Oryctolagus cuniculus: one gene and its partners. Each later gene encodes a partner of the first gene's protein in a complex. Links are inferred from orthologs where the notes say so. Each region holds a gene or a part of one and is shown in the gene's direction. Other genes may lie near its edges.

Region 1 (4,184 bases):
GGGGCCGGACGAAGCCTTCGCCTGCGCGGCATCTTTATTCTGCTCCCCGGGGACACAGTCTCCCTTCCCACGCTCCTGCCCCCGTGGGGCTGCGAGGTCCGGAGGCAAGAAGGCCGGGCAGGCGTCTGGCCCCTCCGCGGTGCAGCTGGGGAGGCGGGCACTCAGAGCTCCATCCCGTCGCCGGCTGGGGTCGCAGGGTGGGAGGGCGTCGGGGGGTCCCCCAGCCTCAGCAGCCGCAGCGCCTCGGGGATCAGGCTCCCCGGGTAGCGCCAGAGTAGCACCTCCGAGCTAGGGCGGCTGGAAGAAGAAGCCTCAGTGAGGACTTGGGGCCCGCTCCCTGCCCAGGCCCCCAGGGCACTGCTCGGGAGCCAAGACCCGGAAACGGCACGCTCGGAGGAGAGTGGCTGGACGCTAAAAATAGCACGATGAGGCAGGGCCCGGAGCGGCCCGAGGACCTTGAGCGATCCTGCCTACCTGGGTGGGGGGGAGACCCCGGGGGGGCTGCAGTAGGGGTGGTCGTTGTGCAGGCTGAGCCGAGAGAAGTGGGTGGCCATGCTCTCCTCCGACGGGGAGTGCTTGCGCACGGGCTCCCTGGGGAGATGGGGAGGAAGGCGGGCGGATGCGGGCCGCAGATGACGGAGACCTTGTGGGTCTCGCCGCTGGCCGCTTGTGCGCGGAGAGCGGAGCTGAGAGAACAGCAGGGCCAGGCGCACCCCGTCCCCGTGGCCCGGTCCCGAGCAAGTGCGCACTCGCCAGGAGCGGACCCCTCGGCCACCAGCGGCCCACCGCCCAAGTCCCGACCCTGAGCTCCAGCCCAGGAGCCGCCGGTCCACCCTGCTCCCAGGCCTCCCGCAACACCAGCCCCGGGCCCCCGGCCCAAGCTCCTGCGACGCTGACGCCCACCCCAGGGCCCCCGCACTCACCTGGCGTCCAGGCCGCGACTCGTGCCCGAGACGGCCCGGGGGTCGCGCAAGGCCCGGCTCAGGGGGCCCCGCTCCAGCGGCTTTTGCAGGATCATTAGGGTCCGGGGTCGTGCGGGCAGAGGGGTGGGAGCCGGGCGGCAAGGGGCGGGGTCTCCGAAGGCGTGGCCTAAAGCGAGGGGTGTGGCTTTAGGAGCGCGCCGCGGCGGCCTTCTGCGCAGGCGCGAAAGACGCGGCGGCACGCGGCGGGAGGGAGGGCTGGTTCCGCGGGGTGGGGGAGGGGGCCGGGCGTAACCGGACTGCCGTGGGCACCGCTCTTCGGTATCGGGGGGCTCCGCGGCGCTAGCCTCTGTTGCTGGGTTCGGGCAGGTTCGCGGTGACCGCCTTCGCGCCGGGCCGGCTGGTAGTGGTGAGGCGGCGCGGCAGCTCAGAGAGGGGAGGCCCGCGCGCACGTCCGGAACCGGGAGGCCGCGTCGCGCGCACGGCACTCTGGGTCTTGTAGTTCCGGCGATGGAGCGGGCTGTGCCGCTCGCGGTGCCTCTGGGTCAGGTGAGCCGGACGCGGAGCGCGCTGCCTTCTGGGGTTCTGTAGTCCACGCCGGGCTCGGACGGGGCCGGCAAAGGGGCCTGCCGTGAGCCCTGTGTTGCGTGGCTGTGCGTGGGAGTCGGACTGTAGCTGAGGGCGGGAAAGGAGCCCAGGAGTGCCCCGTGGGGCTGACATGACATCCAGAGGAGTGGCTGGGACTGAGGACGGGATGGAAGAGCCGCCTTTTAAGTGCTGTCCGCGTGTGCCCAGCGCCCTGCGTGCAGTAGCTCGTCTCCGTGTCAGCGCCCCGTGAGCTCCACCTGACGGGGAGGCTTGCGGGCGGGGCGTGATGCTCGCCCGGGGCTCCCTCTCCGTCCTCTTGCAGCCCCCCTGGGACTGCCTGGGCAGGTACCTGCTTGGAGGCCGCCGCCCCAGAGGGCCGAGAACTCGGGGGCGGGGGCAGGGAAGCGGGTCTCATCCGGCCGCTCCCCCTAGATGGAGGTGTTCCAGGCCCTGCAGCGGCTGCACATGACCGTCTTCTCCCAGAGCATCTCCCCCTGTGGGAAGTTCCTGGCGGCCGGCAACAACTACGGCCAGATCGCCATCTTCAGGTACCCCCGGCGCCTAGGCCCTGGCACTCAGCTTGCCCCTGCCCCCGGGGGGCACCGCAGCCCTCTGCTTCCGGCCCCCTGAGCGCCCCCTCCCGCTCCGCTTCCAGCTTGTCGGCCGCCTTGAGCTCAGAAGCCAAAGAAGAAAGTAAGAAGCCGGTGCTGACCTTCCAAGGTGGGTCTGCCTGTGGGATCCGGCCCAGGGGACCCTGGTGGGGGAGGGTGCGGGTGGGCCCGCTCAGGCTCTGCATCTCCCCCTAGCTCATGAGGGGCCCGTCTACAGCATGGTCTCCACCGATCGCCAGCTGCTCAGTGCGGGGGATGGGGAGGTGAAGGCCTGGCTCTGGGCAGAGATCCTCAAGAAGGTAGGGGTGTGGAGCGGGAGGAGGGGCTGGGACGAGGAGGCCTTGGGGTCACCAGTGTTCCCCCTGTGCAGGGCTGCAAGGAGCTGTGGCGCCGTCAACCCCCGTACAGGTGAGCCAGGGCCGCGGGGGTGGGGGCAGGGAGGTGGTGTGCAGGTACTGACCCTGCCTCCCCCCACCCCCCCAGGACCAGCCTGGAAGTGCCGGAGATCAACGCGCTGCTGCTGGTGCCCAAGGTCTGAGCCCTCTGTCCTGGCACGAGCTCTGCTGCTTCTCTGCGCCCCCCTCCCCCCGCCCCTGCTTCGCAGCCACTCCCAGCGCCCCCTGCCTCTCTGCAGGAGAATGCCCTCATCCTGGCCGGAGGGGACTGTCAGCTGCACACCATGGACCTGGAGACCGGGAGCTTCACCGTGAGCCGTGGCCTGGCATCCGGGTGGGTCCCAGCGTGGGGGGTGGGCACCCCGGGGTCCGGGCCTGAGCCTGCGGCTCTCCCTGCAGCGGGCCCTGCGGGGCCACACGGACTACGTCCACTGCCTGGCGCTGCGGGAGCGGAGCCCCGAGGTGCTGTCCGGCGGCGAGGATGGGGCTGTGCGGCTTTGGGGTACGGCGGTGGCTGGGCGGGTGGGGGGCGGATGAGGGGGAGCCCTTTGGCCCCTCGCCCCCCTCATGGCTCCCTCCCCACAGACCTGCGCACGGCCAAGGAGGTGCAGACGGTGGAGGTGTACAAGCATGAGGTGAGGGCGGGGCCACAGCCTCCTCCCCTCCCCCTTCCTGGCTCCCAGCACCTTCAGGTCTCCCCCTCCTCTCTCCCAGGAGTGTGCGAGGCCCCACAATGGGCGCTGGATCGGATGCTTGGCCACGGACTCAGACTGGATGGTGAGCTGGGCGGGGTTCAGGCCGTGGGGGTGTGGGGGCGGGGGGTGGAGGCTCCAGGCTGTCTGCTGAGTGGCTGGGGCTGCTGTCTTCCTGCCCAGGTGTGCGGAGGGGGCCCAGCCCTCACCCTGTGGCACCTGCGGTCCTCCACGCCCACTACCGTCTTCCCCGTGCGGGCACCACAGAAGCACGTGACTTTCTACCAGGACCTGGTGAGGCCCCCATCTCACGTCTGCCTCCCTCACCGGCCCCCCCTGCAGCCGCGGCCCCTGAGTTCTCTCCCCGTCCGCCCCCCAGATTCTGTCCGCAGGCCAGGGCCGCTGCGTCAACCAGTGGCAGCTGAGCGGGGAGCTCAAGGCCCAAGTGCCTGGCTCTTCCCCAGGGCTGCTCAGCCTCAGCTTGAACCAGCAGCCAGCGGCCCCCGAGTGCAAGGTGGGTCCCCCAGGTGCTGGGGGGGCAAGGCGCCCTAGGAGGCCCCGGGGCCGGAGCAGGCCAGTCATGCCCGTCTTGCTGCCAGGTTCTGACTGCGGCCGGCAACAGCTGCCGGGTGGACGTCTTCACCAACTTGGGCTACCGGGCCTTCTCCCTGTCCTTTTGACGGCCGGACACCTGCACCCCCGCCCAGCAGCCTGTACCTTGTTCTGTTTTTTCACAATAAAGTTTGTTTTTTATATATTACTCTGTGGGATGCTGAAAACATAAGTACCCGAGGGGGGGGGCATGCCCGGGCAGGGATCTTGGAGCTTAGAAGCTTAGAAAAGATAGACCTCTGTAGATTCCAAAAATAGACGGCTCTGCCCCACCCGCTGCTGCCACCTCCCGGGCCCGGCCCCGGCCCCAAAGCTGCTCCCCAAGAGCCCCAGCCCAGCTCCTGCGCGAGGCGGCCACCTGGGCCC
Region 2 (4,325 bases), on another chromosome or scaffold:
GCCTTTAGGCCAATATTCTTCCCAAACCAGGGAGGCTGCACACGCCGGGGGAGGGCAGGTCATGCCAGAGACTCTTTACCCAAGGCAATTTTTGCCTTGGTGCCGAAAGTCAAATTCTTGAGCACTAATTCTGGATAGTACAGTAATGGTATTATTAACGTTAGTGGCCTCACAGAATAGGAATCTAATTTACATTTACCGATTTCTAGCTAAGGGGTAGCTAGCTTCGCTGTCAGATACTGAGACTGACAAATCTTCCTCTTTGAAAGCACTGGCGCGGGAAAGAGTGAGCTTAAGTTGAGTAAACGCAGTCAATCAGGGCAGTAACCAAATTCATCCTACACAACTGCTTCATCCCGGGTAGGAAGACCCAGGGTGCACGGGACAGGGGCCGGACAACTGGGAAACTAACCAGGTGCCTCCATAAACTATCCAAGGCTACATTCAAAATTCAGACGTGCTTCTGGGGCTAAGCGTGCGTTTCACTGGAGCTCCAACTGGCTGTACTGGTGCCTGAGTTTGCTTGCCCGCCTCTCATCCACCGCCACTTCAACGTTGCCTTTTACGAGAAGTTCGTCGAAGTTGAATCAGTGACTTTGGGGAAGAGAGGCCAATATAATCTGCAGGGTGCTCCGGAAATGTGTAATTCACACACAAGGCAACGTCTCTCCCAGAACACACCTCTCGCTCCCCCCCCCCCCGCCCCTTCTCTTCAACTTCCCCTTAAGAGGGGGGACAGTCACATTAAGACAGTTTTCGAAAATGCAAGGAAAAAATAAATAAAAGCACCCAATCGCGTTCACCGACGGGATTCCGGCTCGGGGAGGGGTTGGGGGCGGGGGAGTCTGGGTGCCGGGCCAGGACGACGCTCCCGGTGGCTCCGCGAACTGCTCCCGGAGGTCCACAAGTTTCTCTTTCACCCTCTCCCCTGCACTCGCCAGAGCCCAGGAAGGAAGGGGGCGGCCGCCAGGGCCGGAACCGCGCGACCTGGAACTCGGGGCCTTCTTTGGTTGCTGGCGGCGCCCGGCGCAAGTGCCCGCGTTCGAGACCAGCCTCGGCGCGCGTGGGCGCCAACTTCGCAAGGACCACCGAGCCTCCCCCAACCCCCAACGCCGCGCCCCTTCCGTGGCCTCCTCTCACGTCTCCCAGGCTCAGGCGGCTCCAGGCGCCCCCACGCCCTCCTCACCCCCAAGGGAGCGAGACCTCCAGCCCGCACCCCCCACCCCCGCCCAGCAGGATGGGGCAGTGGGACGGCCGCGGTCACCTTCCCCGGGGAAACGCAGGGACTCTCAATGCCCTGCAGCCCCCGCCGCGCTCCCGCAGCCTCGGCGGCGCCCGGGCGAGCTCACCTGGCGGCTGGCGGCGGCCTCCGGGGCGGCCTCTGGGCGTGGGCCGGGCGGGGGCGGCAGGGGGGGCGGCGGGGGCCGGGGCTGCAGCCGGGGCCGCCGCCGGCCGCCTGGCCTCGACCCCACACGCGCCGGCCGCAGCCTCCCGCGGGGAGTGCGGGGGGCGCGGGTCCCGCGGCGGCGGCGGCAGCGGCGGCGGCGGCGGCGCGGCGCGGCTCAGGCGTCGGAGCAGGCGGCCGCGGGCGCCGCCGCCTCCTCCTCCATGGCTGTTTACCCGGCTGCATTGTGGGAGTTTGACCTCCGCCGCCGCCGCCAACCGCCGCCTCAGCTTGCGCCGCCGCCGCCGCGCACGCCATGGGAGCCGTGACAGACGGTGAGGCTCCCTCGCAGTCGCCCCGGTCCGCTCCCCAGCCCTCCTCGGCCTCCCTGAGACCCCCCCGGCGGGGAACGGCGCTTTCGGGAGCCCCTCGGCCTCCCCGGCCGCTACCGCCGAGCCCTTCGGCCTTGCCGATCTATCCCAGGAGCCCCAGGCCTTGCCGGCCGCTTCACCTAGCCCTTCGCCCTAGTGGCAGAGGCCCCCTGGGCGCCTTGGTCCGCGCGCCGAGGGTGCGCGGGGCCCGTGGAGGGTGTGCCGGGAGGGTCGCCGGGGGCTGCGAACGCACGTGGCGGCCGGGCGGGAGACGGGGTCTCGGCTGTCCCGGGTCATGATGGAGTCCCGGGTTGGCGGAGCCCAGGGGGTGGGGATGGCGCGGGGCTGGGTGTCTGGAATGGAGTGGGAGCCCTAGAAGTTTCGGGATATGAAGTGGCTACAGAGGGAGACGACCTCTGAAAGGGGTCCTTTGGGCAGATGGCGAAGGGCGCGTGGAACCTGTGGGTGGAATGCCATGAGGGCTTCAAGGAGGAGTGGATTTGAGGTTGGGACAGGTTGCTGGAGACGTGATCTGGAAGGAGTAGATGTGGATGAGGCCCTTGCAGGGCAATCAAAGTGTTACTTGGGTGCTAGGGTTACTAGGTAAGGAGCCTGAACAGGGATCAGGTCGGTAAAGGGGGCGTGTGGGTGTGGATCAAGGAGGGCGGGTTGTGGACCCGTTGTACCGGCAAGCAGAAAGAAGGAAACTGGATTTGGGGAAGGGTGAACAGCCATGATGGGCGACTGGACGGGGAACCTAAAAGGTATTTGGTTAGGAAAGAAAGAGGCCCATGGATATCTGCGGTATTGGGGTTTATTTGTGGAGAAGGTGACCAGGAACTATAGTTGCCTATGGACGGTCCAGCTCTGAAGAGTTGAGGACCCGTAGGGTCCCTACAGTAAGGATCAGACAATGGAAACAACAGCTCTGGTCCCAGACTTGTGGGCTGACAGGCGTAGTGTAGGTGGGAGGCTTTGAAAGGCCCAGGGACTCCATGGAAATTTTTACTTCCTTTCCTTCCGGTTTCTTTTATTCGGTAGAGAATGTATTCTACCCCTTGCGAGGCCTTGTTCAAAACAGAAGCCAAGAACCAATAGGCAAGGCCTTTTCCCCACACTGAGGTTAGATTCTGATAGAAAAAACGCATTGGAGAATTCGTTCTAAAACGGGCAAGTGTTCACACAGGGAAAGTACATGGTTGAGAGCTGTAGGGGCATGTAACAGATTCTTTTTTTTTTTTTTTAAGATTTATTTATTATTTATTTGAAAGCCAAAGTTACACAGAGAGAGGGTAGGCAGAGAGAGGTCTTCCATCCACTGGTTCACTCCTCAATTGGCCACAACGGCTGGAGCTGCACCGATCCAAAGCCAGGAGCCAGGAGCTTCTTCCAGGTCTCCCACGCGGGTACAGGGGCCCAAGGACTTGGACCATCTTCTACTGCTTTCCCAGGCCACAGCAGAGAGCTGGATCAGAAGTAGAGCAGCTGGGACTCAAACCAGGGCCCATATGGGATGCTGGCGCTTCAGGCCAGGGCATTAACCTGCTGCACCACAGCACCGGGCCCTGTAACAGATCAAAACACCTCCCTGTAAGAATTTTTCTTCATCCTAGTTGTGGAGACTAAAACAGCTGTAACTAGACTAGAGTTCTGTGTGAGAATCCACTTGTGTAGAGGCATCTAAGTGTTGAAGTAAATCAAGAATTATAGTATTGTGTAAAATTTAGAAAGTTGGGAGCCAGACACTTTGCAGGGCAATAGAATAACATGAAAAGGCTGTACCATTGGTGTGGTGGGATCAGCTTTGCACTACACACGTGAACGAGAAGGGGCAAGGAAAGTGAGGAGCTACATGAGTGTCTTTTCCCCTCACTGATTTTTACATAGTATTTAAATCGTGCTTTGAGCAGTGTCCTCCTTCTTATCCCTGCTTTGCAGATGAAAATGAGACACGGAGAAGTTACCTTGGCCAAAGGCACAGAGGTAGTAAGTTACAGAGCCCAGGCAAACTGGCTTCAGAGTTCTTGCTTTTGCCTGTTACACATGTTGTCTTTGCACTACCAGGGTGGTGGTCCTGGTGAGAGGTCATGGAATGCCCACCCGGAGAGGACGCGTGAGGTAGAACGGTAGGGCTTCGTTGAATGAGCACATGTGAGGGGAGGCGTCGAGGCTGATCCGGGGTATCTGACTTGAGTATGCCTACTAGTACAAGTTGGGTTGTTTATTCAGGTAGAAAACTGTAGAGAAATGGTCGGTTTTGTCAGATGGGACTTGGGGAGATGGCTGCCTGCAGTCAAGTGCCCCCCACGTTTGGGGAGGCCAAGGGAATCCCCACTCCACAGCACTTCCAAGCTATCTGACCATGTATGTATGGGTTAACTAGCCTCTTTGAGCCTCACTTTCATTCTCTGTAAATGGGAGTGATAGAGAATTCCCCTCAGGGGGTTGTTTTGAGCATTAAAGTTGGAAAGGGCTTTGCACTGAGTCTGATATATCACTGTGTTCAGTAACCAGTGTTAAATGTAAGTTGTGCTGCTAGTCTGTCTTGTATTTTGCTTGGACAGGGACTG
Region 3 (3,648 bases), on another chromosome or scaffold:
ACATAATCAGAATGATTCCCCTTCCTCACTAGTGGCTGTTGTTAGAGTAGTGCCAGCCAGATGCAGAGCTATTGAAGAAGCTTCCTCAGAATGACCTACAAGTCCTTTCTGATCCACAGTCTGTGGCAGTACAAGTATGATGCAGTTTTCTCTGAAATCTGACAGACCGTTTAATTCACAGATGATTCTCCACCTCTCATTCCTTGTTAAGAGCACCTCCTCTGTTGCAGGCACTTTGTAAGAGGATCACCCTGGATGTTAATACATTTTTCCAAATGGACCTCCCCTTTAGCCATTATTTATATGTGAGACAGTGTGGCCATACTGTTATATTTCCACCTTATTTTGTTCTGATGTCAAGACCACAGATGGGACCTTTTTGACCACCAACATGAATATCTCACGGCATAAAATAACCAAGGAATCAAAATGACACCTCTGCTGCTCTGCCTTGGGCGTGTACAGTAATGCCTCACAGGCAGTGCACTCTCAAAATATTTTTTTGGTTGAATTGGAAACTTCCATTTCTATAGTAACATAATGTGTATCTTTAGGCAAAACTTATTTTAATGTGCTTTTTTGTGTGTGTGTGCTTGTTTTTTGAGTAGTTGATGGATTTACAGCTGAGTGACAGTAACTTTCGTCGGCACATCCTGTTGCAGTATCTCATTTTATTCCAATATCTCAAGGGGCAGGTCAAATTCAAAAGGTAAGTTAATATTGGTAGCAAGAAGTTTATAAATAGCAGCAAAGAAAAGGACTTATTGTTGTAATTTTTTTATGTGTCGCACCAATTTGATGTTAAGAGCTCCATCCCTGTAATACTTCTGTTTCAGCAATGTATAGCTGACTGGGGGTTTTTAGATAGTAGGATATCTGTTTTAAGGAGCAAGTGTTAAACATACCTACTCTCAGATAAGTCTTTCCTGCTGAACTTTGTGCTTCTGGGGAATTCTTTATTCCTGGGTGGATGGAGGTCTCTGCTACAGACTCCCATTATTCCTTTCTCACCTCACTCAGACCTCCTCCTAAGCTAACTTGCAAACTAAGCCATTAATCTCTCTCACAAGGTGTGAAGCCATTTAGGACATTAAAACTGAAAGAAGCAAAGAAAATGCTTGAAGCCAAGAGGGGTTCTAATTTCCTTGGTGTGTCACAAAACCTCATAAGGATCTCTGTATGTGAATGCTTCCATCCAGAACAGACCATTTCCTTTTGTCCTGTCCATGTAGAATTGGAACCTACTGTTACGTGACAGTATTTTTGTTTAGTACACAAAGAAATTCAGTATTATATAAGGGACCTAACTTTACTACTTCCTGGGGTTTAGTCCAGTGTTATCACTTGCTGGCTTCAATACATTGCCTTCAGGCTTTTTTTTTTTTTTTCTTTTTAAGATTTCTTTGGGGCCAGCTCTGTGGCACAACAGGTTAAGCTTCCGACTGCAGTGCTCGTATCCCATATGGGCACCAGTAATAATCCCAGCTGCTCTGCCTCCAATCCAGTTCCCTACTAATGTGCCTGGGAAAGCGGTGAAGGACAGCCCAAGTGCTAGGATCCCTGCACCCACATTGGAGACCAAGAAGAAGCTCCTGGCACCTGGCCCAGCCCTGGCCGTTGCAGCCATTTGAGAAGTGAAACAGCAGATGGAAGATCTCTCTCTCTCTCTCTAACTCCGATTTTCAAATAAATATTCAGTTTTTAAAAATTTATTCATTTAATAATCAAAAAGCAGTTAGCAGAATGAGCTATCTTCCATCTGGGTTCACTTCCCAAGTGCCCACAACAACCAGGTCTGGGCCAAGCTGAAGCCAGGATCCTAGAACTCCATCCACATCTCCCAAGTACTTCCTTCCTCTGCTTTCCCAAGCACATTAGCAGGCAGCTGGATTGGAAGCAAAGGATGCCAGCATCACAGGCAGTGGCTTAACTGGCTGCACTCCAATGCCAGCTCCCAGACTTATAATTTTAAGGTAGTATATGGTAAACATTTAACAATCTTTTTTTAAGATTGACTTATTTATTTTAAAGGCAGAGTTACTGAGAGAGAGAGAGAAAGGTCTTCTGTCTGCTGGTTCACTCCCCAAGTGGCCACAACAGCCAGGGATGGGCCAGGCCAAAGCCAGGAGCCTAGAACTCCTTCTGGGCCCCCCACGTGGGTAGCCTGGGCAAATGATTGAGCCACTGTAGTCTCTGCTTTGTGAGTGCTGTAGTAGTTCTGGGAAGTCAATGGTTGAGCTCAATCCTGCAACATGGTAGGCTATCCATAATTTCTGTATAGCACTGAATGCACAATGACAGTTCAGTTAATGGCAAGTAATAATAAATGGGTTTGCTTTTGGCCTTTTCTCAGGTTTTGTTTTTTTTATTCATTGTTTTTTGAATGAGTTTTAAAGGAGTAGAGCATGCCTGTCTGAATGTGTATCATCTATAGGAATGTTAATATTGTCTGAGGGGCTTTCATCCTTCCTTAAACTTACTTTAGAAAACATCTGTTTTGGTCATTATATGATTGATTAAGTAAATGTTTTATTATTCCTTATGTCCCTTATATCCTCACTTCTAACCCTCTTGAGGATGAAATGTAGAGTTTTCTCTTAAAATCTCCATCAGTGTTGACACTTATTTACAGTATCGCTAACCTGTACATTATATACCTTATGTTTCCTCAAGACCATAAATAAATCTCAAAATTGAATAGACATTGCTGTAATGCAGTGCTTTTATTGCTTTGTTCCCTAGTTCAAACTATGTTTTAACTGATGAGCAATCACTCTGGATTGAAGATACTACAAAATCAGTCTATCAAGTAAGTCCAACATGCAACAAACCCATGATTGAAAAAAATGGAAATTTAGAATTTTCTTTGTTTCAGCCCCAAATAGGAAAATAAGGATAAAGTTAAGCTCAGGTACAAGACCACAAACACTTCTTGGTTCTCTGCCTACAAACCACTTCTATGATGCAGAAAGTTGTTGAAAGCTTAGTATATTCTTTCTAATCACAGCTACTATCTGAAAACCCCCCTGATGGAGAAAGATTTTCAAAGATGGTAGAGGTATGTAATTTATATTTTACTTAGTCATCTTAGTACCAAGTAGAGAATTTCATAGGATTCTGTTATGCAAATATAATTTGTTTTTATCAGCATATATTAAACACTGAAGAAAACTGGAACTCATGGAAAAATGAAGGCTGCCCAAGTTTTGTGAAAGAAAGGTAAATAAATACTCATATCTTATGAAAAAGGAGGCAATCATTGAAAAATAGTTTGACCTGATTTTTTATCATGTACAGATGCATATGCACATTTCACATATTAAATGTAAAACTCTTTGGTTTATTAAGTTCCCAGACCAAATAGATATATTAATTATTGAAAAAATGCTATAAACTACTCCTTGTATTTGCCCTTCTTCCTGATCAGTGTTCTACCATAATATGAAGTTTTCATCTTTAGGAAGAAAACAGCATAACTAAATTTTCTTTAATTCCTTCTCTGCTGTCCATCTGTAGTTCCAAAAATAGCTCATATTTTGTTCTCCACAGAACATCAGATGCCAAGCCCACAAGAGTAGTAAGGAAGAGAACAGCTCCAGAGGACTTCCTAGGGAAAGGACCCAACAAGAAAATTCTTATGGGAAAGTA
Region 4 (3,648 bases), on another chromosome or scaffold:
CATCCATGAGACTCGGAAGAATTTTCTGGCTTTGGCCTGGCCCAGCCCTGGCTGTTGTATCTATATGGGGAGTAAAAGTGAACCAGCGGATGGAAGATCTTTCTCTGTCTTTGTCTCTGTCTGTCTCAAATAAATACATCTTAAAAAAAAAAAAAAAAAAAAGGTTGTGTAGAATGCATATTATGAAAAAACTGTATGGATTTCATAATTTTTATATCAAAATAAATTTATCTTTATTTGTGTTTTCTGCAAACCTTTTGAAGTATCCTCATGGTGTACTGTTAATATTATGAACTACTTGTTTTCTTTATGTTCATGTGAGAGTCTTTCTGGTATATATATCCAGGAATGGGATTGCTAATTACTGTATACTCATGTGGCCAAACTTAATGTGACCTAACATGCCAGGTTTTTCCAGATTGGTATATAATCTATACTCTCATCATCAGTGCATGATCATTCTTGTATCTCCACAAACCTAAATTTGGCACTATTAAGTGGCCTAGTTTTTGCTAATTCATTGGTACAAATGAAAAGAAAATTAAAATCTCTTATGTGTTTTTTTGAGGGGGTGTTTCTTTTTTTGCACATTTTCCTGTTGGAGTACCATCATTCACTGTTGGTTTACAGGCTTTTCTTTGTTAGTTTTAGATACAAATATCTTCTTTGTCATTTGTCTCTTAACTTTTTCTGTGGTGTACTTTCTTAGTAGAAGTCTTTAGCTTTTTTTAAGAAATCTTTAATTTTCAACAATAGCTTTTGCTACTAGGTTTTTTTTTCTTTTTTAAAAAGAATTCTTCTCAGTCTCCCACATTACTTTTTAAATTACTTTTATAGTTTGACGTTATCACATTTATTTCTTTAGTGTAGCTGAAGTTCAGTTTCATATCGATGTTAAGTAGAGATCTGATTTTATCTTCTTCATATGTAGGAAATAGTTTTTGTATCAGTTCTGCCTTAAATACTAAATTTTACTTTGGGAAAACAAAATGATCATAATTTTAACTGTAGTACAGTGATCAAGATGGTTTTGTAGCAGGGCTTGACCTGAATATTTTAATATTCTTTAGCTGAAGAGGAGGCAAATGAAGAAGATGTACTGGGAGATGAAACAGAGGTGAGTTGGAGGAGTAAAGTTAGCCACTGACCTGATCTTGTTTTGCCTTGGCCACACTGCTTAGCATCAGTCATGGCAGGTCTGAGATGCTAATTTATTAAGGGAGCACACAAGGGGAATTAAGGTTCTGAGATACTGATTAACTTTGGGGTTCTGATATTCTTTTGGGTATTTACTCTAGCTTTATGTTAACCATTTTGTTTCATTTGGTTTTAGGAAGAAGAACCAAAGCCCATAGAATTGCCTGTCAAAGAGGAGGAACCCCCTGAAAAAAACATTGATGTGTAATTATATTTTTTCTATAATCTCAGTACAGAGCAGACCTGTTTTTATTGGGTGTTATGTTTCACTCTGTTTGCCTCTTCCACATTCCCACTGGCCTTTTCCTTTCTGTTGGATCATACATTTCCTGAAGAGTCTGTTTTACTCTCATGTATATGGTCCCAATGTAGCAAAGCAGTTTGTCTCTTAAGTTTTCTAAAAGGTAATTAGGACCAGGTGACTTCCAGCTCAGACAGTTTAGTTCTCCTAGTTTTTGTTGTTCTTTTTGAGGATCACCGTAGTAGATTATTCTATGACTGTATAGAGAATCTGAATGTAAAATTCTCTAAACTCTGCTACTCTTTTCTTTTCCATAATATAACTAGTTTTTTGAGAAAGGAAGGTGTTGGGTAGAATTTGTCTTTTGTTTAAACTATCCTACAAGGTTGATCATAAACATCTTTTTTATGGGAATTTTCCCACAACTGCCTTGACCATTTTGTACTCCAGCACATTGAAAACAGTTGATGTGTAAGTACAAATCGGTACATAGTGAAGTATATAGAAAATTAAGTACCCTTTGTTTCCACCTCATTTGAATTCCCAGAGGTTTTTTGCACATTGTTTTGGAATGAGTAAAATGTGTGTCTGTGAATGTGTATGTATAGGTATATGTATACACATGATATGGACACTCTTGTTTTTTTTTCACATCTGGAGTTTTTTTTTTTTTTTTTTTTTAAAGATTCATTTATTTGAAAGGCAGAATGACAGACAGGGAGGGACACAGAGAGATTGATCTTCCGTGCGCTGATTCACTCCTGCAACAGACACAGTGACCGTGGCTGGACCAAGATGAAGCAGAGAGCCAGGAATTTCATATGGGTTTCCCACATGCAAGGGCCCAGGCATTTGAGTCATCCTGTGCTACCTTCCCTGGGCACATTGGTAGGAAACTGGATTCGAAGCAGAGCAGCTTGGACTTGAACTGGTGCTCTGATATGGGATGCTGGTATCGCAAGTAGCAGATTAACCTGCTGCACCACAATGCCCTCCCCATCTGGAGATATTCCTATATCATCATCATCATATCCTAATTTAAATGTTATGTTAGATATAGTTCTAAGTATTTTACACATACACTCAAATAATCCTCACATTGATTCTATAAGTAGGGATACTTAGTAAGTGTTAAGTCTGTCTCTTTTTCTTTTAGCTTGTTTTGGGAAATTTAAAGTATGGAAAAAAGTTAGGATAGTATAATAGACTATTATATACCCATCACCCAGATTTGGTAATTCTCAGCTTAGAACATTATTTCTAGCCACTAATAGTACTGCATTTTGTGAATAAACAGTAATTTATTTCACCCGTCTCTGGTTGATGGGCATTTAGATATTCCTTGTTCTGATTATTTTTATATTTATATTATGCGAGGATGTCCATGGAACAGGTGTTTTTTTTTTTTAAGATTTATTCATTTATTTGAAAGTCAGAGACAGAGAGAGAAGTCTTCCATCCTCCGGTTCATTCCCCAAATGGCCACAATGGCCAGGGCTGGGCCATACTGGAGCCAGGAGCTTCCTCCAGGTCTCCTGTGTGGGTGGCAGGGGCCCAAACACTTGGGCCATATTCTGCTGCTTTTGCCAGGCTATTAACAGGGAGCTGGATCGGAAGTGGAGCAGCTGCAACATGAATTAGCACCCATATGGGATGCCAGTGTTGCAGTTAGTGGCTTTACCTGCTAAGCCACAATGCCCTCATGGTACAGATTGTTAGCTGCGGATTTGCTGCATCATAGAGGATGTGAATGTTTTTATAAAGATCGGTTTATTTGAAAGGAAGAGTTGCAAGGGGAGGTGGTGGGAGAGAGCGAGTGATCTTCCATCTGCTGGTTTACTCTCCAAATGTCTGCAGCAGTTGGGACTGTGCTATGCTAAAGCTAGGAACCTGGAATTTATCTGGATCATCTCCCACATGGGTGGCTGGGCCCCAAACACTAGGGCCATTCTCTACCACCTTCCTAGGCACATTAACAGGGAATTGGAACAGAAGTGGAGTGGCTGTGACACAAACTGGTGCCCATATGGGATCCTGTATATCAAAAGGGGCTTACCCCACTGTGTCACAGTGCCAGTCCAAAGGATGTACATTTAACATTTGGATAGATTTTGTCAAATATTACTTTCTTTTTTTTTTTTTTAATTTTTATTTATTTATTTATTTTTTTTTGACAGGCAGAGTGGACAGTGAGAGAGAGAGACAGAGAG
Region 5 (4,223 bases), on another chromosome or scaffold:
CTACGTAACTGATACAAGATTAATAACCAGAATATATAAAGAGATCAAGAAACTCAACAACAACAAAACAAACAACCCAGTTAAGAAATGGGCAAAGGAGTTAAACAATCATTTTTCAAAAGAGGAAATCCAAATGGCCAACAGGCACGTGAGAAAACACTCAAGATCACTAGCTTTCAGGGAAATGCAAATCAAATCCACAATGACATTTCACCTTAACCCCCTTTAGAATGGCTTTCATACAGAAATCACCAAACGACAAAATGCTGGTGAGGATGTGAGGAAAAAGGTACCCTAATCCACTGTTGGTGGGAAAGTAAACTGGTAAAGTCAGTATAGAAGACAGTATGGAGATACCTCCGAAATCTGAATATGGACCTACCATATGACCCAGCCATCCCACTCCTGGGAATTTACCCAAGGGAACTGAAATCAGCAAATGAACTCTATCTGTACCCGCAGTGTATTGCAGCTCAATTCACAGTAGCTAAGATATGGAATCAACTCAAATGTCCATCAACTGAAGACTAGATAAAGAAATTATGGGATATGTACACCATGGAGTACTACACAGCAGTAAAGAAAAAAATCCTGTCACTTGCAACAAAATGGATGAGACTGGAGAACATCATACTTAGTGAAATAAGCCAGTCCCAAAAGGACAAATACCATATGTTCTCCCGATCTGTGATAACTGTTAGAGCCCCTAAAAGTTTATCTATAGAAGTGAAATTGACACTTGGAGATGCAACGACTTTGAACAGCACTTGTCTCGATTGTCTTTCTTCATACTACTTTTTGAACCGTTTTCTTAGTATAGAGTTAATCATGTGTATAAAGTTAACAGGAAATAAATCTTAGTGAAAAATAAAACTGGGCATAAGAGAGGGAGGAGGAAGAGGGGTGGGAGGGAAGGTATGGTGGGAAGATTCACTATGTTCCTAAAGTTGTACTATGAAATGCATGAAGTTTGTATTCCTTAAATAAAAGATTTCTGGGAAAACAAAAAATCGCGGACTCCTCCCTCCTCCCGGGCCCTTTTTCAGGACAATATCACCCCAGTCCTTCTCCAGGGCCTCTGCTCCAGGGGGAGGGTTAATACTAGAGCAAGGGCATTTACTGATAGGTAAACTGCTTGCAAGGTTACCGTGGGTTTCCTTCTTCAGTTAAACAGGGATACAAATACACCCATCTAGAGACAGCCAAGCGAACCACGCACCCAAGCTGTATAGGAGTCGTTAAGCGTGAAGCCAGTTTACAGCGGAATCGCGCCTGCCAGAAAGCGCGCAGCCTGGCTCATGTTGCACGCCGGGATTTGTAGTCCTTTCTGGTGCTGGGGCATGGTGCGCCTGCGCAGAGCAGGGTGCGCCTCCGGGCGCATGCGCGCAGTGGCGGCGCCAGGACTGATTGTGCCGGAACCGCGGTGGCGGAGTTGTGGTCTCTGAGTTCGCCATGGCGGTGCCCCCGGCTGCCATGGGGCCTTCGACGCTGGGCCCAAGCGGGCCGGGTTCGATGGCCCCCTGGTGCTCAATGAGTAGCGGCCCTTCGCGTTACGTGCTCGGGATGCAGGAGCTGTTCCGGGGCCACAGCAAGACGCGCGAGTTCCCCGCGCACAGCGCCAAGGTGCACTCGGTGGCCTGGAGCTGCGACGGGCGTCGCTTGGCCTCGGGGTCGTTCGACAAGACGGCCAGCGTCTTCCTCTTGGAGAAAGACCGGTTGGTGAGCCGCCCGGGCCCGGCCTAGGCCGGAGACAGGGGCATTGATGAATTGAGGTGGGGGTGGGCGAGGGGCAGGGTGGAGGTGGAGTGGAAAGTGAGCGTGAGGGTAGGAGAGGAGGGAACGAGGAGATGAGGGTGTGTGGGGGTGTGATGGGGTGGATGGGAAGGGTGTGAGGTGAGGGGAACAGTAGGAAGGCTTCGTGTGGCCGTGAGGAGTGGCCGGGGGCAGTGGTGGTGGTGCTGGTGGGGTCCCTGTGGTAGGGAGGGGCGCCTTTGAAAATGATTTGGGTCTTGTGGGTTGGGACATTAGGGTAGAGTGAGGGTGGCGAACCAGAGAGGCGGGGAGAGGGCAGAAGCTCAGAGCAGTTCAGAGTGATCAGGGAGGAGGACGGGCTTGGAGGGGCTGAGCGCTTGTTGCTAGTGAGAGACCTTGGTTTGAATAAAGGTGGGTTACACATGCGGGCGGCTGTGCCTGGTGGAAATGACACGTGGATTCTGTGCTTCCAGGTTAAAGAAAACAATTACCGGGGACATGGGGATAGTGTGGACCAGCTGTGTTGGCATCCAAGTAATCCCGACCTCTTTGTCACGGCATCCGGGGACAAGACCATTCGCATCTGGGATGTGAGGACTACGAAATGCATTGCCACCGTGAACACCAAAGGTGACCGTGCCCAGGGACGGCAGGAAGATAAGCCTGTGTTGGTTCTGCACCCTCTGACGCTCACCTTGTATTGCGTATCGGAAGTAATCCAGAGGTGATTTAAAGTATCAGGAGAGTGTGTAAAGGCTCTGTGAAATGCCATCGCCTTGTTGTGAGGGACTTACAACACGTCCATGGGGTTTTGTATCTAGGGGTCCTGGAACCAGTCTCCTGTGGCTGCTGAGGGACCCCCGTGTCTTCCCCTGTGCCTGGCATTTTGCTAAGTCTGGGGTATCCTGAACTGAACAAGACACTGTCCAGCTCCTAGGGCCTCAAGGTTAAGGGGAGGAGAGAGACTTGCGTGAATAGGACTTGTTCATCTTGTAGCATGGTGGACACCCCAGGTGAGACAGGGAAGCCTCCTGGAATTCCAGTACAGTTCTGAATGGCTGTAGGAATTTCGTGGCCAGAGTGCAGTGTGTAAGGAGGGAGGTGGTTCCCGGAGGAAACCCTCTAATGAAGGGGTGAGGCCTGCATGGCCCTGGTGGCCTGGGAGAACAGGACTAGAGCGATGTGCAGTACATTTTTGGCCAGGTATTACCTTGTAAATCATGAAACCGTGACTTAATGCTAAGATATTATTGATAGGAGATTTATCAATATTTCTTATGCCATTAGGACAGAAAGTTGCCAAATAACCTTGGTACCCCACGATTTTTGAGATGCTTCTTGATAAATTTTAAAATGCATCATAAATATTAAGTTGTGAAAATGTACATTTTAGAATAAAGGTGATCGGCTGGCGCCGTGGCTCAGTAGGCTAATCCTCCACCTTGCGGCGCCGGCACACCGGGTTCTAGTCCCGGTCGGGGCGCCGGATTCTGTCCCGGTTGCCCCTCTTCCAGGCCAGCTCTCTGCTGTGGCCCGGGAGTGCAGTGGAGGATGGCCCAAGTACTTTGGGCCCTGCACCCCATGGGAGACCAGGAAAAGCACCTGCCTCCTGCCTTTGGATCAGCGCGGTGCGCCTGCTGTGGCGGCCATTGGAGGGTGAACCAATGGCAAAGGAAGACCTTTCTCTCTGTCTCTCTCACTGTCCACTCTGCCTGTAAAAAAAAAAAAAAAAAAAAAAAAGAATAAAGGTGATGAAGTTTTTAAATTTTTATTTATTTGAGTGGCGGAGCGACAGAGAAAGGGAGAGCATGGGTGAGTGAGGGAGGGCTTCCATCTGTTGGTTCATTCCCCAGATGTCGGTGAAGGCTGGTCAGGAGCCTGGAATACAAGACAGGTCCCTCGTGAGAGTGGCTGGAACAGAGCCATCACCAGTGCCTTCTGCCGTCGGCATTAGTGAGAAACTAGGGTTCGGAGCCGAAGGCAGGAATCAGACCTAGGCACTCTGGGGGGTGCAGGTGTCTTAGCCATTAGGCTGAGTGCTTGCTCCCTGAAATTCTCGATGGATGTGTTCAGCATGGTCACTGGACCCGACTTAGACCTAGAGGTGGAATGGTGTAGTGCTTGCTTCACACAGCTGGTGATACGTGTGTGATTTAAGTTGTATATGGATGGACATTAAAAATTGATTATGTATATATTTTGATGTAAAAAGAAAACTAATCTCTAGGATTTATTGTTTAATTGAAACATTATTTTTGAGTCAAATTTAGAAAAAGTCTTGAATAAAGAGAAGTGTAGCTTTTGGAGTTTGAGACATGATGTAAGAAAGAATAAGAGGCTTTGAGGGCAAATACAGTTTAAATCTTAGCTCTGTGACTTCCTGGCTTTGCCACCTTGGCCCATTTTCTTCCATTTCCTCGTGTATAAGATAGGGATAATAACGTGTCCCTTGTGAAGTCCAAATGGGGTCA
Region 6 (4,285 bases), on another chromosome or scaffold:
GGGTCACACCCAGGCACGGGGGCCCTGTGGACCAAGGTGCTGCCCTGCCTAGCGATGGTCCCTCTGGGCTGCGGCCACAGCCAGCAGGCCCTGCTGTAGCCAGCGCTGAGTGCCTGGACGCCCCTCACAGGCCCAGTGCCGGCCACGCGAGAAGACACGACAGGCAAGGCCACGGTTAGAGACACTGCCTTGGTTAGAGACGTGGGCTCGGGCAGCTTCCTCGGGACTTGCCGAGGTTAACAACGTTGCTCTGAAAGGTGCAAGCCCTGGCCTCGGGCTGTGTCCCGCCCTCCAGAGCAATCTAAACGCTGAATAACGCCAATTGCTAATCTCTGCTACCAGGAAAAGCCAATCAAAGGGCCGGCCTGGAGGGGATGACCCCGGGGCACGACAGAAGAGGGTGTGGAGAGAAATCCACTCCCAGAGCCCGGCACCCACCCACCGACCCAGTCCCGGCGGGCGATCGCTCCTGATGAGCTCTCTCTCCAGCCAGGGTGGAAGGAAAAACTAAACCACAGTTAGGGGCCCGCGCTGTGGCACAGCGGGTAAAGCCACCGCCTGCAGCGCCGGCATCCCGTATGGGCCCCGGTTCGAGTCCCGGCTGCTCCACTTCCCACCCAGCTCTCTGCTGTGGCCTGGGAACGCAGTGGAAGACGGCCCGAGTGCTTGGGCCCTGCACCCGCGTGGGAGACCCGGAGGAGGCTCCTGGCCCTGGGTCGGCGCAGCTCCGGCCGTTGCAGCCATGTGGGGGGTGAACCAGCGGATGGCAGACCTCTCTCCCCGCTCTGCTTCTCCGTAACGGATTCTCAAGTAAATAAGTAAATCCTAACAGGCGCCGCGAGCCGCTGCCACCGCGCCCCAGGCGAGGGCGGTGGGGGCTCCGCAGATTTCTCGGTGCAGGGGCCGACGTGCGGCCTCCTCCTCCCGTCCGGGCAGGGCAGCGGCGATGGCCCTGCGCCCCCGGGGGCACCCGGGCGGCGTTCCGGGCCGGCCTCGCGCTCTCCGCGACCGCCCTTCCGGGCACTCACAGTCGGGGCAGCAGCCGTTGAACGCCATCCGGCAGATGCCGCAGTTCTCGTCGTTGGCCACCCAGAGCCAGGTGGCCACGCCGTTCCAGCACTTGATCTTCACCCTCATGGCGCCGGGGCCTGCGGGCCGGGAGGGGCGCGCGTGAGCCGGCAGACGCCGCGACCCCCGGCCGCCGCCGCCCGCCGACCCCGCCCCTCGCCCGCCCGGCCCCGCCCCCCGCGGCCGCCCCAATCCCCGGCGCCCTCGCACCTTGTGCGACCTGACCGCGCGCCGCCCCGCCCTTCCGTTGGCGGCGCCCGCGTCCGCGCGGGAAGGTATAAAAACGACCGCGGCCGCGGCCGGCAGCTCCAGTCCGCGCCCGCCCGCTCCGCGCGCACTGCGCACGCGCCCCTCCGCCCCGCGCGCGCAGCCGCCGCCCGCCGCCAATCAGCGCCAGCGCCGAGGCCGCGGCGCCGGAAGTCCGCGCGCGCCGCCGGAAGTGACGCCGCGGCGTGCTGACGCGCGGGATCGAGCTGAGGCCGATTCGGCGCCCGCCATGGCCGACAAAATGGACATGTCTCTGGACGACATCATCAAACTGAACCGGAGCCAGCGGGGCGGCCGCGGCGGGGGCCGGGGCCGCGGCCGGGCCGGCTCCCAGGGCGGCCGCGGCGGCGGAGCGCAGGCGGCCGCGCGCGTGAGCCGCGGCGGCGGGCCCCTCCGGAACCGGCCGGCCATTGCCCGCGGCGCGGCCGGCGGCGGCGGCAGAAACCGGCCGGCGCCCTACAGCCGGGTGAGTGCCGGGCCGGCCGCCGCCGCGGGCGGCGGGGGCGAGCGGGGCCGGGGGTGCGCGCTGCGGGGGCCGGCGGCGCGGGGCGGGCCGGGCGGCGGCGCGGGCGAGGCCGCGCGGGGGAGCCGGCCGGGCGCCGGGGCCTCCTGGGGTCTTTGTGTGGCCGGGGCGCGCGGGGCGGCGGGAAGTGCGTGGGGGCGCGCGGGGCGGCCTGCGGGGAGGCTCACGCTCCGCCCCGCCGCGGCGCCTCCTCCCGCAGCCGAAGCAGCTTCCCGACAAGTGGCAGCACGACCTGTTCGACAGCGGCTTCGGGGCCGGCGCCGGCGTGGAGACGGGCGGGAAGCTGCTGGTGTCCAACCTGGACTTCGGCGTGTCGGACGCCGACATCCAGGTAAGCGGCCGGCCGGGGCTGGGCGGGGGGCCGAGGCGGGCCGGGCCGACCCCGCGAGCTGGCAGCCGGGCGGCCTCGGACCCGCGTGGGTGCAGCCTTTCTGGTTTCCCGCACTCTCTTTTGTCTTTTTTTCCCTTTTGCTCTGAGCCCAGGGGGGCTGGCTCTTGCCTGGGGCTGACTGGTAGGAGTCCGCCTTCGGACGGCCGGCGGACGCTGGGCCTGAGCGCTGGCTTTTTCTAAGGTGGTCTCTGGCGTCCACTGGAAGCCGCTCTCGGTGACCTCCTTCCCGCTGTGCCCGCGGCCGGCGTGTCCCACTCTGGTTCCCTCTCCGACGCCCAGCCTGCCTGGGGTCAGGCGGCTCAGCAGCACTTGGCTGCGGGCGTGGGGCGGAGAGGGAGGGGGAGCCAGCCTCTGCCGGGGGCGGGGGCGGGCCGGGCAGCTGCCCCCGCCGCCCTGGGCGCAGTCAGTTTGCTGGAAGTGACGGCAGACGCGGGCTTTGCGATTCCATCCCCTGCAGCGAGGCGCGGATACGCAGCGGCCCTGGGCCCCGGGCGCTCTCGGAAGCTGCTGTGTCTGCGGCCCGGCCCTTCCCCCGCACCCCGGGAGACGCCCCACGGCGCTGGGCCTCCGGGGCCTGGCTACAGCTCTCTGTCTGACCAGGAGCTGTTCGCGGAGTTCGGGACGCTGAAGAAGGCGGCCGTGCACTACGACCGCTCCGGCCGCAGCTTGGGCACGGCAGACGTGCACTTCGAGCGGAAGGCGGACGCGCTGAAGGCCATGAAGCAGTACAACGGCGTGCCCTTGGACGGTGAGTCCGGGACGGGCTCGCGGAGTGGGCGGCCCCGGCCCGTAGCAGCGGCTTGCCCTCTGGCTGAGGACACTTTGCATTTGCCCCTTTGTCTCTCTCTTCCATTCTGCCCCGCACATCGGGACCAACCTCTTGTGAACCCCCATCCAGCAAGTACACCCTCCCCTCAGCTCCTTCCGGAAGACTCACTTCTGTGAAGCCTTCTCAGAACCGCCATAGTACACCTCTGAGTGCGGGGCTGTAGTCGTAAAGACAAAGGTACCGGTTCTTCTTCGTCAGGCCGCCCACACCTGTCCGCCCACGAGCACCCCGGACACCACACCTGACCAAGCAGCCCGAGGATGAGGCGGTGTCGGCGGGGCCGCTGCCCTCGCCGGAGCCCCCGCCAGGCTCCAGGCCACCTCCCCGACGGGGGCGCTGGACACACGAAGGCCCTTGCCAGCGCCTGCATGGAGCGCAGGGCGTGGAGCCGCTGGGCGCTCCGAGCCGCTGGTTAGAACGGGCCCCTCTCGCTCTCCGCACAGGCCGCCCCATGAACATCCAGCTCGTCACGTCACAGATCGACACCCAGCGGAGACCGGCACAGAGGTGAGGCGCGGGCCGCGCGCGGGCCGGGCGGCCGTGGGGGCCTGCCAGTGTCTGAGCGAGCGCCGCTTCCCCCAGCATAAGCAGAGGCGGCGTGACCAGAACCCGCGGCCCCGGGGCCTTCGGCGGCGGCACCCGGAGAGGCGCGCGTGGCGGCAGCCGCGGCAGGGGCAGAGGCACCGGCAGGAGCGCCAGGCAGCAGCTGTCTGCAGAGGAGCTGGACGCCCAGCTGGACGCCTACAACGCCAGGGTGAGTCCCGCGGGGCCGGGAGCGCGGCTGGCCCGGCCGGCCCGGCCCGGCAGCCCCTGGTGAGCTCCCCTCTGTTGCCCTTTGCAGATGGACACCAGCTAAAGGAGGCGAGCGAGCAGAGCGGGACCGACACGGCGTCCCTGTGCCTGGCGGGAGGGCGGCCGGCGCTGTGTGGCCAAGGATGCGTTTGTTTCTTTTGTGTTTTAAAATAGGATTTAAGAACTCATGTAAAGGCTTTTTTTTTCTTTTTCTTTTTTTTTTAAATTCTGAAACAGACCTGTTTTGTACTGAGTTATTTTTGGGATAAATTTTACTGGTTGCTGTTGTGGAGAAGGTGGCGTTTCCACCTTTGCCATAATAAAATAGAGATGTGTGTAGAGCGGCACTGCCTGGTCCATGCCCTGGGGCTGGTGTGGGGCTGGAGCTGGGCGAGGCGGGGGAGGAGCTCGAGTG
Region 7 (4,424 bases), on another chromosome or scaffold:
GGGGAGCTGAAGGGTTATGGGGTCCTGAGGACTCCCGCTCTGCCCAGAGTCTCTCCCACCCACCGGCTTCCCCGGCCAGTAGTTCCTCATCTCCCTGAACGCAGATCAGAACCTCTCATGTCTTCACACATTCCCTTGGGATCCCTCACCTCACAGCTGTCCGTCCCCAGTTAGCATCTCAGTAAACCTTGGCTTAGCTTAGTTGCGCAAAAGGGAGTGCGACCAATGGTTCGAAGTGGGGTGGGAAGGGAGGAGGCCAGGCCAGGCCACACCCTCAGGACTCCCTAGTCTCCACTGGACCACCCACTTGCTGCACAGTCTGAGCCAAATCCCTCATGCTGTGGAAAAGTCTGGAACTGCCAAAACCCTCAGATCAGCACCCAGAGAGGCAGAGCGATGGCACGGGAGAGGAAGGACGTGGGGGCGGGAGCCAGCCCCAGAAGCTGGAACGTAGAGTTCTGACCCTGGTTCTTGAGCCACAAAATTTGGAAGACAGGTCGGAGTGACAGAAGACCGTTGGGGGAGGGGCTCGTGAGTACTAGACGGATGGAGAGAGGCTCACCTGTCCCTTCCTGCAGGCTCAAGCACAGGCCAGGGCCCCCTAGTTTCCTCCCCCTCACGCGACAGCTGCCAGCCCAGCCCTCATAGGGACACCGGCGTGGAGTTGGGTAGCGACCCTGGGAGCTTCCTCTGTGACCCCCATACCTCGTGAACCCCCCGGGAACTTGATCTGCCTCCTGTCCATGAAAACAAGTACTGGGGTGGCTGAAGGAACCAATTAAATATTTACTATAAGTCACCGTGTCTGTTCTTCATCTGCAAGGAACTTGAGCGGATGCTCGAGGCTGGGCAGAGCAGAGCGGGCCTGGGCAGAGCAGAGCGGGGCTGGGCAGAGCAGAGCGGGGCTGGCCAGCTTCCCTGTCCCACATGGCTGATGTCCCCAGCCCTGGAGGACGTTGCGACCCGAGCTAGGCTCAGGGAGGCATCTTCAGCCTCGCCCCAGGGCAGGAGAAGGAACTGTCCCTGTACAAACACCGACTTGACACAGGTGTTTCTAGCTCCGGTTGAGGACCTGCACCAAAAATCCTGGGCCCTGCTGCACAGTTCATGCCAAGTGTAGGAAACACTCGATGCTTTCAAATACTGCCTTCGAGTTGTGATACTGTCCCGGTCAAATCGGGCCTAAAATGGAGAATCTGGTGATGTGACATGTTACGGTGAACACAACGGTGGTTACAAAGCCAGGTTATGGAGTCGAATTCACCAGGGTCCAAGTGTTGGCGCTACCAGCTCTTGCGTTATCGTGGGCATGCGGCAACCCCTTCATTCTACGACTGGGCAGAGCGCTCGCTCGTTGCTAGGCACTGCTGTAGCACCTGGGAAAGTGAACGAGACGTATGAGTCTTTGTCCTTACGGTCTCGGTTTCCCTGTGTTCGAGAGCAGCCGGGGGTGGCTGGCCGGCTAGAGCGCCCACAGCTTAGTCGCTCGCCACGATGTCGCCCCCGGCGCAGCACATCCACGGCCATCCGGGAACTTGGCGTTTCGCTTCCGGCCTCCGCGCCCGCCTTCCGGAAGGCCGCTCCTTCCCTTCTTCCGGTTCTCTATGGTGCAAGGAACGTCATCACCTAGGCGCCGGAAGTGGCTCGTTTCCAGAGACAGGTTTGCGGAGCTGTTCGGTGAGGAGGGGACCAGGGTGGCGACCTGGGTGGCGACCTGGGCGGCGGGCAGGGCCGGGCGTTCTGGGACTGAGGTGCGGACTGCCCGAAAGGTGCCCCTGGGCGGCGGGCTTTTTTTGACCTTGCTCTCCGGGTAGGCGCCGTGGGGCGCTGTTTGCTCATCTGGAAAATGCTCGCGGCCGCATCCTCGGGGTCTGGGTTGTAGCCGCTTGGTGATGAGGGACGTGTGGAGCCTGATGGGGATGGTGGCGGTGCTGGTGCTAAGAGTGCACATTGGCCACGCGCGTCCGCGTGCCGGACAGCCTCCTGCTTTGCCAGAGCCAGGATTTACCGCATTTTCAGTATTTGGGGTCGCACTTTTGTGGCTTTGTCGAATCACTAATTATTGTTTACTCACTTTAGCATTTTAAAATATTTGTTTATTTGAAAGAGAGAGAATGAAGGGAAGGGAATAAAACCCCCCACCTGCCACTTAGCTCCCCAAATGCCCTCGGCAGCTGGGGTTGGGCCTGCGTGGGTGGCAGGGCCGGAGCTGCCGTTACCTGCTGCTTCCCGGGCTGTGCGTGAACAGGAACCTGGGCTCGGATGGACTCGAGACTCCAGCCTGGGCATGTGGTGTCCAAGCTGCGTTCTAGCCATTGTACCAAATCCTCCGCCCCAATCTAGGCACCTTTCTTTCTTTCTTTTTCAATTTAAACTGACTCGAGAGAAAACGTTTAAGTCTCCACAATAAACGGAAAACCGTTTTCACTTTTTTTATGCAGATGGTAGTGATGAAAATGACAGTAATAAATATAGCGGGGAAGTGTGATTGTTAATGATCTTTGGCCAGGTTTCATTGTCTAAGGCTCCGAGACCGTCCTTTTGTTGCGTTCATAGCTGTGGACAAGCTAGGGAGCCGATGTTTTCTTGGAAGTAAACAGAAGTTTCAAAAAGGAACTGGAAAGGGATGAACTCCCGTGCTTGGTGTGCAGCAGGGGTGGCAGGGGTCCAGTACTTAAGGCCGACCTCCACCGCCTTCCCAGGCACACCACACATCAGCAAGGACTCAAACCCGGGCTCTGCTGTGATGTGGGGTGCTGGCATTGCAGGCAGCAGCTTAGCTCACTGTGCCGTCATGCTGGCCCCTAGGTGTTCAGTGTTATCTAAGGTCACTCATGTACCATTTATTTTTTTAGACAGATTTGTTTATTGTAGAGGCAGAATTACAGAGAGGGAGAGAGAGACAGAGAGAGAGGTCTTCTGTTCGCTGGTTCACTCCCCAAATGGCCGCCCGCAATGGCTGGAGCTGGGCTGATCTGAAGCCAGGAGCCAGGAGCTTCTTCTGGGTCTCCCACATGGGTGCAGGGAACCAAGCACTTGGGCCACCTTCTACTGCTTTCCCAGGCCATAGCAGAGAGCTGGATAGGGAGAGGAGCGGTTGGGACCTGAATGCCCATATGGGAAGCCAGCACCGCAGGTAGAGTCTCTACTACTGTGCCACAGCGCCGGCCCCTCATGGACCATTTAAAGCCCCAAGTTTTTTTCTTTGCTCCCTCTTCCCCCTTAAGAGGTGATTTGATTAATTGATTTGAAAGGCACACTGACAGAGAGGGACAGAGAAACTGTCCATCACTGGTTCACTTTCCAAATGCCCACGACAGCTGGTCCAGGTCAGGCCTAAGCCAGAAGCGCCATCTGGGTCTCCCATGTGGTAGCAGGAACCCAAGTCCTTGGGCCATCACCAGATGCCCTTTCCCCGTTCCCCAGAGGAGCTCCCATGTTCATGCCCACAGCAACCCCTGAGGCAGGGGCTGTTGCTCTCGTTGATTTTGTGAGGATGTAGACCAGAGGAAAGGGAAGCGACTTGTTCTAAGACTCATAGCGACATGATATCGTAGGGAGTCCCACTCAGGTTGGGATTCCGTCATGACACGCTGTTGGCTCTCAGTGTTACAGATCAGGAGCTGTGCTGCCTGCCTCAGGAGAGACTGGGGATGACCATGAGGGGTGGTGACTGCTGAGCCCCGTGGAACATAGCTTCTGATCTTTGTAAATTTTAGGGTCAACCAGAATATTTATGACACCGTCATAGGATATGCTGGCAGGACGAGGAGGCTTGAGGATGTAGCTGTCTAGAGCCCCGGTGTAGCTGCAGATGGACCCAAGCTTCAGCATATTAGCATGGTGACTAGGCAAGTCATTTCCCTTCCGAGCCTCCACTTTCTCATCTGGGACACAAGTAACAATTCCCATCTGAAAAGTTAGGAAGATCGAATGTGAACACACCCATGAAGTGCCTAGGTGAAGGCCCACCACGCTGTGACCTGTTGGTTGTGTTGGGAATAAGCTTATTACGTGCCAGACTAAGGAGCTACCAATTTATGGAGCGTTTCGCCAGGCACATGGGGAAGAAAGTCAGAGAGAGAAATCCTCTAATAGTGTATCCCAAATACCCAAGGGAGGGCCTTGGGGAGCCCTGAGAGGCTTCCTGGAGCAATCAGTGAGCATTTCTTAGTCTTCAGGTGCACAGAGAGAAGGAGGAAGATCTCTGCAAGATTGTGTGGCGTGTTCTGGGACCCAGGGTGCTAAGTGCAGTTGCAGCCAGGACTCAGGTTAGTGGGTGGCAGAGGAGGCTTCCTAAGAACAGGAATGCAAGGAATGCAGTTGGGCAAGTGGGCTGTGGACAAACCAAGGCCAGCAGATGTCCACCGTGGTGCACCATGAAGAGCCAGAAAAGGTTTCGAAATAGGAGAGGCATTAATTAG

What was found.
Region 2: the proteins of THOC6 (region 1) and THOC7 are in contact, whole or in part, in a cryo-EM structure (PDB 7APK), measured with the Homo sapiens proteins. The link is inferred for Oryctolagus cuniculus from reciprocal best matches to the Homo sapiens genes THOC6 and THOC7. Residues at the interface, in NP_001334633.1 of Homo sapiens: Asp229, Trp232, His245, Thr252, Gln268, Asp269, Gln284, Leu285, Ser286; in NP_079351.2 of Homo sapiens: Lys110, Arg113, Lys114, Gln117, Glu118, Ala121, Leu122, Val125.
Region 3: the proteins of THOC6 (region 1) and THOC1 are in contact, whole or in part, in a cryo-EM structure (PDB 7APK), measured with the Homo sapiens proteins. The link is inferred for Oryctolagus cuniculus from reciprocal best matches to the Homo sapiens genes THOC6 and THOC1. Residues at the interface, in NP_001334633.1 of Homo sapiens: Leu57, Ser58, Ser59, Glu60, Pro312, Glu313, Lys315, Thr330, Asn331, Gly333, Tyr334, Ala336; in NP_005122.2 of Homo sapiens: Ser227, Pro229, Ile230, Asp231, Tyr232, Leu234, Arg236, Val270, Ser273, Tyr274, Asp309, Leu312.
Region 4: THOC6 (region 1) and SARNP share a complex: the UniProt entries of both Homo sapiens proteins name them as parts of the transcription/export (TREX) complex. The link is inferred for Oryctolagus cuniculus from reciprocal best matches to the Homo sapiens genes THOC6 and SARNP.
Region 5: THOC6 (region 1) and THOC3 share a complex: the UniProt entries of both Homo sapiens proteins name them as parts of the transcription/export (TREX) complex. The link is inferred for Oryctolagus cuniculus from reciprocal best matches to the Homo sapiens genes THOC6 and THOC3.
Region 6: THOC6 (region 1) and ALYREF share a complex: the UniProt entries of both Homo sapiens proteins name them as parts of the transcription/export (TREX) complex. The link is inferred for Oryctolagus cuniculus from reciprocal best matches to the Homo sapiens genes THOC6 and ALYREF.
Region 7: the proteins of THOC6 (region 1) and THOC5 are in contact, whole or in part, in a cryo-EM structure (PDB 7APK), measured with the Homo sapiens proteins. The link is inferred for Oryctolagus cuniculus from reciprocal best matches to the Homo sapiens genes THOC6 and THOC5. Residues at the interface, in NP_001334633.1 of Homo sapiens: Val5, Pro6, Ala8, Val9, Pro10, Leu11, Gly12, Gln13, Val16, Phe17, Leu20, Gln21, Leu23, His24, Met25, Thr26, Phe28, Tyr45, Tyr80, Asp94, Glu125, Val126, Pro127, Glu128, Asn130, Gly146, Tyr170, His172, Glu188, Trp222; in NP_001002877.1 of Homo sapiens: Pro406, Gly407, Asp538, Ile539, Val540, Asp541, Ala542, Gly543, Leu544, Ser575, Ile576, Ser593, Asp596, Arg599, Glu602, Gly603, Asn606, Val607, Tyr609, Arg660, Phe662, Arg663, Gly664, Pro665, Ser666, Arg667.

Annotation. Positions count from the first base shown.
Region 1 is NC_091450.1:32,413,971-32,418,154, reverse strand, and holds THOC6 (THO complex subunit 6), read left to right. Parts: upstream 1-1,334; 5' UTR 1,335-1,430; coding exon 1,431-1,469; intron 1,470-1,478; exon of another isoform or gene 1,479-1,853; intron 1,854-1,940; coding exon 1,941-2,056; intron 2,057-2,163; coding exon 2,164-2,228; intron 2,229-2,314; coding exon 2,315-2,418; intron 2,419-2,489; coding exon 2,490-2,527; intron 2,528-2,602; coding exon 2,603-2,651; intron 2,652-2,753; coding exon 2,754-2,825; intron 2,826-2,913; coding exon 2,914-3,016; intron 3,017-3,099; coding exon 3,100-3,149; intron 3,150-3,228; coding exon 3,229-3,291; intron 3,292-3,389; coding exon 3,390-3,500; intron 3,501-3,585; coding exon 3,586-3,720; intron 3,721-3,805; coding exon 3,806-3,886; 3' UTR 3,887-3,966; downstream 3,967-4,184. Other genes in the region: HCFC1R1 (host cell factor C1 regulator 1), read right to left, coding at 162-297, 475-591, 924-1,018. UniProt on the Homo sapiens protein: Component of the THO subcomplex of the TREX complex which is thought to couple mRNA transcription, processing and nuclear export, and which specifically associates with spliced mRNA and not with unspliced pre-mRNA.
Region 2 is NC_091441.1:85,848,475-85,852,799, forward strand, and holds the start of THOC7 (THO complex subunit 7), read left to right. Parts: upstream 1-1,474; 5' UTR 1,475-1,700; coding exon 1,701-1,719; intron 1,720-4,325. UniProt on the Homo sapiens protein: Component of the THO subcomplex of the TREX complex which is thought to couple mRNA transcription, processing and nuclear export, and which specifically associates with spliced mRNA and not with unspliced pre-mRNA.
Region 3 is NC_091441.1:56,798,279-56,801,926, reverse strand, and holds part of THOC1 (THO complex subunit 1), read left to right. Parts: intron 1-608; coding exon 609-709; intron 710-2,742; coding exon 2,743-2,809; intron 2,810-3,007; coding exon 3,008-3,058; intron 3,059-3,148; coding exon 3,149-3,219; intron 3,220-3,549; coding exon 3,550-3,645; intron 3,646-3,648. UniProt on the Homo sapiens protein: Component of the THO subcomplex of the TREX complex which is thought to couple mRNA transcription, processing and nuclear export, and which specifically associates with spliced mRNA and not with unspliced pre-mRNA.
Region 4 is NC_091442.1:58,622,713-58,626,360, reverse strand, and holds part of SARNP (SAP domain-containing ribonucleoprotein), read left to right. Parts: intron 1-1,070; coding exon 1,071-1,117; intron 1,118-1,333; coding exon 1,334-1,401; intron 1,402-3,648. UniProt on the Homo sapiens protein: Binds both single-stranded and double-stranded DNA with higher affinity for the single-stranded form. Specifically binds to scaffold/matrix attachment region DNA. Also binds single-stranded RNA. Enhances RNA unwinding activity of DDX39A.
Region 5 is NC_091437.1:62,188,653-62,192,875, reverse strand, and holds the start of THOC3 (THO complex subunit 3), read left to right. Parts: upstream 1-1,324; 5' UTR 1,325-1,452; coding exon 1,453-1,719; intron 1,720-2,225; coding exon 2,226-2,382; intron 2,383-4,223. UniProt on the Homo sapiens protein: Component of the THO subcomplex of the TREX complex which is thought to couple mRNA transcription, processing and nuclear export, and which specifically associates with spliced mRNA and not with unspliced pre-mRNA.
Region 6 is NC_091448.1:1,021,220-1,025,504, forward strand, and holds ALYREF (THO complex subunit 4), read left to right. Parts: upstream 1-1,411; 5' UTR 1,412-1,564; coding exon 1,565-1,801; intron 1,802-2,057; coding exon 2,058-2,189; intron 2,190-2,849; coding exon 2,850-2,997; intron 2,998-3,521; coding exon 3,522-3,585; intron 3,586-3,660; coding exon 3,661-3,832; intron 3,833-3,919; coding exon 3,920-3,934; 3' UTR 3,935-4,211; downstream 4,212-4,285. Other genes in the region: ANAPC11 (anaphase-promoting complex subunit 11), read right to left, coding at 1,029-1,137. UniProt on the Homo sapiens protein: Functions as an mRNA export adapter; component of the transcription/export (TREX) complex which is thought to couple mRNA transcription, processing and nuclear export, and specifically associates with spliced mRNA and not with unspliced pre-mRNA.
Region 7 is NC_091452.1:22,917,848-22,922,271, reverse strand, and holds the start of THOC5 (THO complex subunit 5), read left to right. Parts: upstream 1-1,557; 5' UTR 1,558-1,677; intron 1,678-3,719; exon of another isoform or gene 3,720-4,424. UniProt on the Homo sapiens protein: Component of the THO subcomplex of the TREX complex which is thought to couple mRNA transcription, processing and nuclear export, and which specifically associates with spliced mRNA and not with unspliced pre-mRNA.